Caenorhabditis elegans: one gene and its partner. The protein of the gene in region 2 binds, or shares a complex with, the protein of the main gene of each other region. Each region holds a gene or a part of one and is shown on either strand. Other genes may lie near its edges. A codon is read from its position in the direction of its gene.

Evidence for each region.
Region 1: the proteins of epg-5 (region 2) and lgg-1 are in contact, whole or in part, in a crystal structure (PDB 8TGF), measured with the Caenorhabditis elegans proteins. Residues at the interface, in NP_001356411.1 of Caenorhabditis elegans: Ser505 (codon at 1,507), Thr506 (codon at 1,504), Trp507 (codon at 1,501), Glu508 (codon at 1,498), Ile509 (codon at 1,495), Leu510 (codon at 1,492), Ala511 (codon at 1,489), Asp512 (codon at 1,486), Asp513 (codon at 1,483); in NP_495277.1 of Caenorhabditis elegans: Tyr5 (codon at 1,408), Glu17 (codon at 1,372), Ile21 (codon at 1,360), Tyr25 (codon at 1,348), Asp27 (codon at 1,342), Arg28 (codon at 1,339), Pro30 (codon at 1,333), Val31 (codon at 1,330), Ile32 (codon at 1,327), Lys46 (codon at 1,285), Lys48 (codon at 1,279), Tyr49 (codon at 1,276), Leu50 (codon at 1,273), Val51 (codon at 1,270), Pro52 (codon at 1,267), Phe60 (codon at 1,243), Leu63 (codon at 1,234), Arg67 (codon at 1,222), Phe104 (codon at 1,059).

Annotation. Positions count from the first base shown.
Region 1 is NC_003280.10:6,346,267-6,349,420, forward strand, and holds lgg-1 (Protein lgg-1), read right to left. Parts: upstream 1,454-3,154; 5' UTR 1,421-1,453; coding exon 1,133-1,420; intron 1,081-1,132; coding exon 997-1,080; 3' UTR 694-996; downstream 1-693. UniProt on the Caenorhabditis elegans protein: Ubiquitin-like modifier involved in the formation of autophagosomal vacuoles (autophagosomes). When lipidated mediates tethering between adjacent membranes and stimulates membrane fusion during autophagy. Recruits lipidated-lgg-2 to maturing autophagosomes.
Region 2 is NC_003280.10:6,606,046-6,611,232, forward strand, and holds the start of epg-5 (Ectopic P granules protein 5), read right to left. Parts: upstream 3,321-5,187; 5' UTR 3,312-3,320; coding exon 3,198-3,311; intron 3,148-3,197; coding exon 3,086-3,147; intron 3,037-3,085; coding exon 2,937-3,036; intron 2,891-2,936; coding exon 2,633-2,890; intron 2,587-2,632; coding exon 1,983-2,586; intron 1,933-1,982; coding exon 1,799-1,932; intron 1,748-1,798; coding exon 1,360-1,747; intron 1,305-1,359; coding exon 1,246-1,304; intron 1,197-1,245; coding exon 1,120-1,196; intron 1,074-1,119; coding exon 781-1,073; intron 734-780; coding exon 609-733; intron 566-608; coding exon 1-565.

The DNA of each region.
Region 1 (3,154 bases), 260 kb from region 2:
TTTTTAATCTCAAAAATATGTATTTAATTATACATCTTGAAAATTTTGCAGATTTTTTTAGAGTTAGCCTACAGTACTCGGTCTCGAAACGGCCAAAACTATTTAAATACCGTATCCGCAAGTATTTGTTTTTAATTTTTCATGATCTCCTACAATTTTCCAAAAATGTATCGGTTTTTCCTTTAAAAATGTGGAATTTTAAGTGAAACTATTACAACAGATACAGGTGAAAATTGCGAAACACTTTTGGGTGCGGTAGCTGAAAAGTTTCCATCGTGCCGAGACCGGCTACCGTATTTTCGCATTGAAAATCTCAAACTTCTGCAAATGGGTAGTACCAAAATTGTGTCTCGAAAATGATAAAATATGCCAGAATCGAATCAAAAATGATTCCTAAGTCAACGTTTGAGCCCTCTTATGACATTTTCAGACGATGACAACTAGAATAAACTGTCATTTGACAGATGACTAATGGATACAAAGAGCCTTTTTGCCAAAAGTGTGTCACCATTTTCGAAATAAAATTCTCATTTTTCTCTATACTTTGTTCAGAAATCTACAATGATGTTTACGTAATACAAATGTGACGTCAATTCTATACAGATGAAAAAGTGATTTCGCAATGTGTATTGCTAACTGTTGGAGGTATTCCATTCGCTGGCCGAAAATAACGATGAGCATGAACATGAATTTGTTTGTGTCTTCTTCGTTTATTCATGAATCAAAAATTTGAAAGTAATAGCAAAAAAATATCAAAATCCGAGAGAAAACATGATTTTCTGGGAGGGGAGAAGAGCAACTTCGTAGACAATAGTTTGAATAGAAGTCACTACTCGGAACCGTCATACGAGAAAAATGAGAAGAAAATGTGAAGGAAATACAGAATTATTACAGAAAATGAGAAGATTTTTTTAAAGGGGCTTTGGGTTTCCATTAGAAGTATGAAATTTCCATTGTACAAGTATACACATTCGTCGGCGGATAATACATGACACTTTATTCCTTCTTTTCGACCTCTCCTCCATACACACTTTCGTCACTGTAGGCGATGTAAAGGAACAAGTCTTCCTCGTGATGGTCCTGTAATAAAGAAAAGGGTTAATTAAATGAAAATAAACGACTGGTTAGTTACCTGGTAGAGTTGTCCCATTGTGGTCATGGTTTGTGGAATGACATTGTTGACAAAGAAGAACAGAGCATCTTCTGGACGAAGTTGGATGCGTTTTCTGATGAGGAAGTAGAACTGTCCAACAGTAAGATCGGATGGGACCAAGTACTTCTTCTTATCCAAGTCATGGAGCTTTGACTTTGGTGCTTTCTCAACAATCACTGGAATACGGTCTGGGTACTTTCTGCGGATCTTGTCTCCTTCGGCACGACGCTTCTCAAAGTTGTTCTCCTCCTTGTAAGCCCACTTCATTTTGATTCGAAGGTTAGTGTGAAGAGAAGGTTACTGGAATAAAAATACTTTAAATCACAGAAAAATCATAAAAGAACCATGAGAGAAGAAAGGTGTAACAAGTGAGAGTGAATGAAGGTGACATCACATGGGTTTTGAGAGATTGACCGATTCGATAACACATTGCGAAATCTATATAAAATTGACGACGAGTACTAGTAAGGCAAAAAGAGCATGAGCAAGAATGGCCCGTGTGCAAGTGAGAGAGGGAGTGTGCGCGCACATCGGTCATATGAGAGCGCGTAGACGCAGGAGACATCCTATTGATTTTCTATGTTTGTCTGGCCTGGTTTTGTTGAGATGCAGAGAAACAGGACAAGTACAATGCAGCTGTTTAGAGGTTGTCGGGGAAACTGTAATTCTGGGAAGACTGAAAGTCGATCGATATATTAGTAACATTTATCCAATATTCACTAGTATCCATAACCAGTTTCTACGAATATTCTTAGCGCATTGTTCCAAAAAATTGAATTCTGAAAGACTTTAGTAATCAACTATTAACTAGATTAATATGACCGTTCAATAAATAATTTTGGTATGATTTAGCAATATTTTTAGATAGAATTGTTAAACCGTACATTTAATAGTCAAACTTGTGAAACATTTCTTAATTTCAAATTTCAAATCTAAAAAAGATTTTGATTTGAAACCGGTTTTTTAAACAAACCAACTAAAATTACAAACTTTTAAATAAAAAAGTACTGTCGCTACCGACGTCGCCAGAAAGTGAAAGAAATGGCAGAAAGTCGCAAAGAAGAGCGAGAGGCAAGACTGAACACACCAAGACGAATGGCACTAGCTAGAAAGAGAGAGAGATGAGAGAGGGGCGGAGACGACGAGACACCACGACTCAACATCATGTGACTGTGTCATACGGCGGCGAAACGAGACAGCAGGCAGAGGAGAGCAAGAGAGTATAGGGAAACATTGGATGGTTTGAGAGAAGTAGAGCAGCATGGTGTAGAATCATCGGGGTTTCAGGTGCCGATCGACAGATTGTTTGTTCTTAGATTCTTTTGATAGGAAATTTTAAACGTTAGAAATGATCAAAAGTGATAAAAGGTTAGAATAACAACTAGACAACAGTTGGTATTGAGTATGTTTTGCTATTAAAGGAACATAATATGCTAAAACTAAACGAAATAAACGATATATAACTACTATATCCATACAATAATATGTAGGTGGAAAGTGCATTAGCGACATAATTCTAAAATAAAGAGTTGGAGCAATGAGAGCATCATCCACATTCACAGCTGTCACCGTGACGTAGAATGTAATGAACTAGAAGAGGGCATTCAAGACCAGCTGGTAAAACGCTAGAACTGACAATATAAAACAAATCAATTAAAAGATCTTAAAGACATTAGGGTGCACTCCATGTAATCGATCAGAAAGGCAAAAATATAAAAAGGAACAAGATAAAAATTTGCCGGAAGCAAACCGAGAAAAAATATTAAAAAAATAACCAAACAATAAACCAAAGGTTAAAAATTTATAGACAGTCAATAGTGACGAAATGTTTTACACGGACAGAAGTACAATAATCAGAATAAAGCTATAAATATAAATAAATAAAAAATGATAGCTAACATGGAGAAACAATAAAAATATGAAAAACGCTTTTTTCTTTGAACCGTAAACAACGAAAATCTAAAAATTGCCGAATAAGTTCGCTTGTAGCCCAGGATGGAA
Region 2 (5,187 bases):
CTATCCTCACATAATGTGCTGTTAGATCATTTTGAACCAATGAGGAAGGTATCGTTGGAAGTTTGAGCTTTACGAGCAGGTCCCAACAAAACTGCTGGAACAACGATTCGGCGTCTCCAACTTTTGAAGCGAGTTTTGATATCTTATTTATAGACTTTGATATCATACTATTCGAACGTGAACAATGAACAGAATGAGCCTTGACCACAGTATCTGCTGCAATTGTGTGCACATCTACATCAATCCACAAGTTATGACCATCAACAGCCAATCCCCAATGCAATCCAGAAAGAACTCGCCGAGCAAGACGATTTGCTCCGTGTTCTGGAGGATTATTAATGAGCCATTTTCCTATGATGCTTATCATTGGTTCCGTTAATCGACATTCGAAAAGTCGTGATGATGATAAAACATTGATTGCATAGGAATCCATATGCTGAAGATTTCGATCAATAATAGTGAGCAATTGATGCAATGTTTCAGGTCTTTTTATAAGAATTTGTCCAATTGCTTCACCACCACATTTATACAAATCATCTCGAGTGTCTTCATCACAAAAGCAAACCTGCAAAAATGTAAAGTTTTTAGTTAAAAATGTTCAATCTCACATCAATAAGCTCTTTCAAAAGTTGCGAAACATCCGAATTTGAATAAGATCCAATTGAGGCCAATGAGTTGACAAGAAATTCTGAATCCTGAGCTCCAAGCGCACCTATTCGTTTTGAAATTCCTTCTGAAATTAATATGTTTATTATTTTGGTTTACTCTAAAGAAACTGACGACTACTAATCCTGGCGCGTACTTCACAAATTGGTGTATCATAAATCTCGTGAATAGACATTTTCTTATTCGATCTTAAAGCATATTCACATCGGCTTCTACATTCTTCGGAAACCACAGCATATGGTAACGACACCACAAATTGGAACAATCCAAGGGTGTCTTGATGAATCAAGTAATTTAGAGCTAGAAGTACAACTCGATCTACTTCTTTCTGAAGATGATGCTCTTCGCCTGGTCGAACTTGATCTCGAATAAGTCGCCAATTGGAGCAAAGTTCCCGAACGCTGTGCCTGAAAGAAAACACATTATCTAGGAGCCAAAGGATAACAAACTCACTTGAGACTTATTCCAATTTGCTTACAGAACATTTTATATCCGGGTTGAGAATAACTTGTCAAACCATTATCAAGAATCTTAAAAATTCAATGTTTCTATCATAAATTTAGATATTACTATACTTACTTTCATGAGCAAGAGCTGGAATGCAATCATAGCAGTAAATTGAGATCCTTTGTCAGAGTCTGAAAATTTGAAAATTTGAACGGTCTAAGTTTACAATTGCAACTTGAAACTTACATGAAGTGAAAGCAAGATAAGCAATTGAATAAAGCTCAGAAATCGGAAATTGATCAAGGAATGCAGTTAGATCTGATTCGTTGATTGTGACAAATGAAAACTCATTTGCTTCACCGTCATCGTCATCTGCAAGAATCTCCCAAGTTGACTCCTCTTTTTCAGATTGAGCAACATGGCGAAGGAAAGATTCTCGAGCTTTGATTGGGTTGAGGAGATGAGTGAGAAGTGCAACACAATAATCAAGCTTCAACTTTGGAGCAGATTGTGATTGAATGAAGGTTTGTACAAATGGAGAAGCCCATTGATCAATTGGAGATGGAAGACGTAAAAGGTGGCAAAGGAGGAATATACCGTCGTCGCATGATTGACGCATATTCAACACACATGTCTGAAACATTTTTTTACATAAACGTTACATTACGAACTTGAAATGATTTACCAATTCTTTGATCCATCCAACAAGTGTATCTATAAATCTTTTTGAAAGTCTTGGATACCGAAGATGATAGAATATGTCTGAAAGAGCAGTGCGAAGAGCAACTCTACCCGGTGTCATAGGTACACTGGCAATTACTGAAATACATTCATATTCAACTAGTAAGCTGTTGAAATAATAAACTCACAACTGGGTGGACAATTTGTAGACAACCCGTTTTCAGCCATGAAATTATTATTGATAATAATAACCTGCCATTGAATTTGTAGAGCAATTGATCTAAACGAAGTCTCTTCACAAACTGAATGATCCATCAGATTGCTTCGATTCGTAGAGAGAAGTTTCTTCATTTGATCCAGTACTGCCTGTTGCAGTTCAAAAGAAAAATACGATGCTCTACCTGTACCATCATTGTTGTCTCCACATTTTCCTTTTGCATCAACAGAAAGAGATTGTTGAACCCAACATTCTCGTAAACATTTTTGCAATTCTTCTGTATTCTCTTTTCCTTTCACTTCACTAACAGTCATTAGGTCACATACTGTTCTTAGTCTAGCTAAGAGTGGAAATAAAGATCCAGATTGAGTTGGTACTTCCTCAGTTTTAATAAACTGATCAACAAACATTTCGGCGTGCTCATAAAGGGGATTATGGTAGAATGTGACCAAGTTTTCTTCAGTCATTAAACCATGTTCATTCCGTTCGTAAGTTTTGATAGATGGATACATCGGAGGAGCTTCTCCCTCTCGTACACGCTCTCTCTCAACTGGTGCAGAAAATCGTGTTTTTTCCTACAAAAATAAAGAAAAATAATAAGGTTTCAGATTAAATACTTACTGGAATGGCAGTAGCTGAGTGTGAATGCTGAAGTCCTCCATTTATTGAAGGATACACTTGCGGATGTTGAAGCGCATCAGTATAGGATGGAAGTTCGGCTAGTTCGGGGACAGCTGGATATGAAGCAACTGCTACACTCCGTTTTGGTGCTACCGCTGTAGTTGATTCTTTTCTAGATTCAGCAACCATGCTGGTACTTCGTGGAAAGATCATACTTCTTGGAGGAATTGGTGGAGCTTCTCTTTCTTGAGAAACACGCTGAAAACAAATGATTCATATTTTGAGTTTTAGAATTTCAACTGACTGGTGGTGGAGGGGCTGGTCGAACTGGACTACTTCTCACATCTTTTAAAGGTTCAGATGCTTCTTCGCGTTTCAAGGAATCTTCGGTCAAGCTTATATCCCTGGAAACGTATACATATTTTTCAGTTCAATCGTTATTTTACCACTTACTGATCTTCAGGTTCCGGTGATGCTGATCTTTCTGGTAAATCCTCAATAGTATGTGATGGAGCCTGAAAATAAAATCAATATGAAACAAAAAGTTTAGTGGTATTGTTATTACCGCAGGGAGTCTCAAACCATTCACAATTGCAGGACGATCTGGTATTGGGGGTGTATAATCACTTTGTGCTCGCTCTCGATGTTTTGGCTTTTTTGGACGAACCAATTCCGCCATTTTGAAACTAAATTAATATATTTTATTAATTTTTCTTATAAAAAGAAATGCGACAAGTACAGTACGAAGTCAACAAATTAATTCAATAGTCGAGGATTTCAACTAGAAAATATAAAAAATCTGTATAGCAGGATAAATTGCTCTATTTCTGCATTTTTTAGTATGAGTCACGAAAAAAAGTGGTCTGACGGCAAATAAAAACCCGAATTGAACTGAACACAGCACGTGAAGAGGGAAAATGACGACAAATACGCAATGTCCGTCGTCGTGTTTGCGGACCAAACCATTTTTGTGAAATCGATCGGGAGCCCGAGCACTCTACCGATTGAGAACAGTTGATAACTATAGTATAGATTCGATGAGAACATTTATTATTTTGAAAAAGTTTTTACAAAATGTCCCATGATTTTTTTTTTAATATAACGACATTGACACTGAAAAACAAATAAATTTATAGTTAGAATGCTTCGAGAAGAGAAATGATAAGAAAACGATGTGCAAGCATTTTGCTATTTCAACGTCAATGTCTACATGATTTATAACAGGAACTTAGATTGAAAATGGATTTTATTTCGGAAACAATCGAAAGAAAAACATATTTTCTTTTTCATAGTTTTTTCCTTCTGGGAATGGTCTGCAACATACGTTATGTTTTCGTGAATAGTAGATTTGAAACAAACGAGATCTTATGAATTTCGAAATCTAGAAACAACATGGTTTACTTTTGTGAAAACCTAATAACATTTGAAGGCTATTTTTAATAATGCCTCTCACCTTTTGCCAATCTCTGAAATTAATGCTGAAATTAAAAATAAGGTTTATCATTAATATTTAAAAACTACGTGGAGCATTCCAATTTATATATTTTTGGATCATGTCACGGAGCAATATTTTTGTAGTTTCCAAAAGCAAATCCCTTTTTCCCAAATCGCAACTTTATTTTTTAATGTCCATTGGTTAGTTTTAGGAGTGTGAATGAATGTTTCAAATCTCTAAACGGTTTATCTACGAGAAAGTACACAAAACGTGAGAGAAACCAGACACTTTTGACAGGTAATTAATAGACAGTTAGTGTGAATTTCTACGATTGCCAAACCAATTTCTTCGTTCAATTCGCACACTCACACATGAGTTTATCGTTGATTTGTCCTTGCGCAATTGAAACATTTCCTCGCTTATCTGCCACATCATCCGGACATGAGATTAATGAGATTTTGAATCTGAATTGAACAGGATATCAATTCAAATGAGAGACGATCAATGAGCAAACCATTAGAAAGCGTTTAGTCTGAAGAAATTGGTTACTGTATTGTAGGTAAATGGTTTGGACTACAGTTGGATAACGTTTTACAGGAGATAAGTTTGACATGCTTCGTATCACATGAAGATAATATTTTGATAAAGATGTTTGTACATAATGATTTCAGAATTCAGAACAATTCTGGCAGAAATGCACGAAATGTTTGAAAGAAGAGCTCCAAGAATAGTCTTTCACATAGGCACAAAAACGACTCTAGTACCAGATTCAAGTGTCTTTTTACCTTCCTTGAGTCAAATTTGGAACGTGGGGCAACCTGACAGTTTCTGACAATTATATAAAAGGATTAAAAAACCTGAACTAGTTAATTTAAAATTTAAATAATATGAATAATTCTTCAAACACCGGAAGCTTGTTTAAATAATACATCCAGTTCTAATTTTGAAGCAATTTTGTAAAAATGGTAACTTTCATTTCAGCATGCTTCTCCCTTTTAATTTATGTTCATCAAAGACCCCATCCGAAGGAATTCATAAATTTTTATTTGTTCATCAAAAACCTGGCATCTACAATTCACGCTTTCTTTGAGGATATGATCTACCGCCTGAAAGTGTGTCC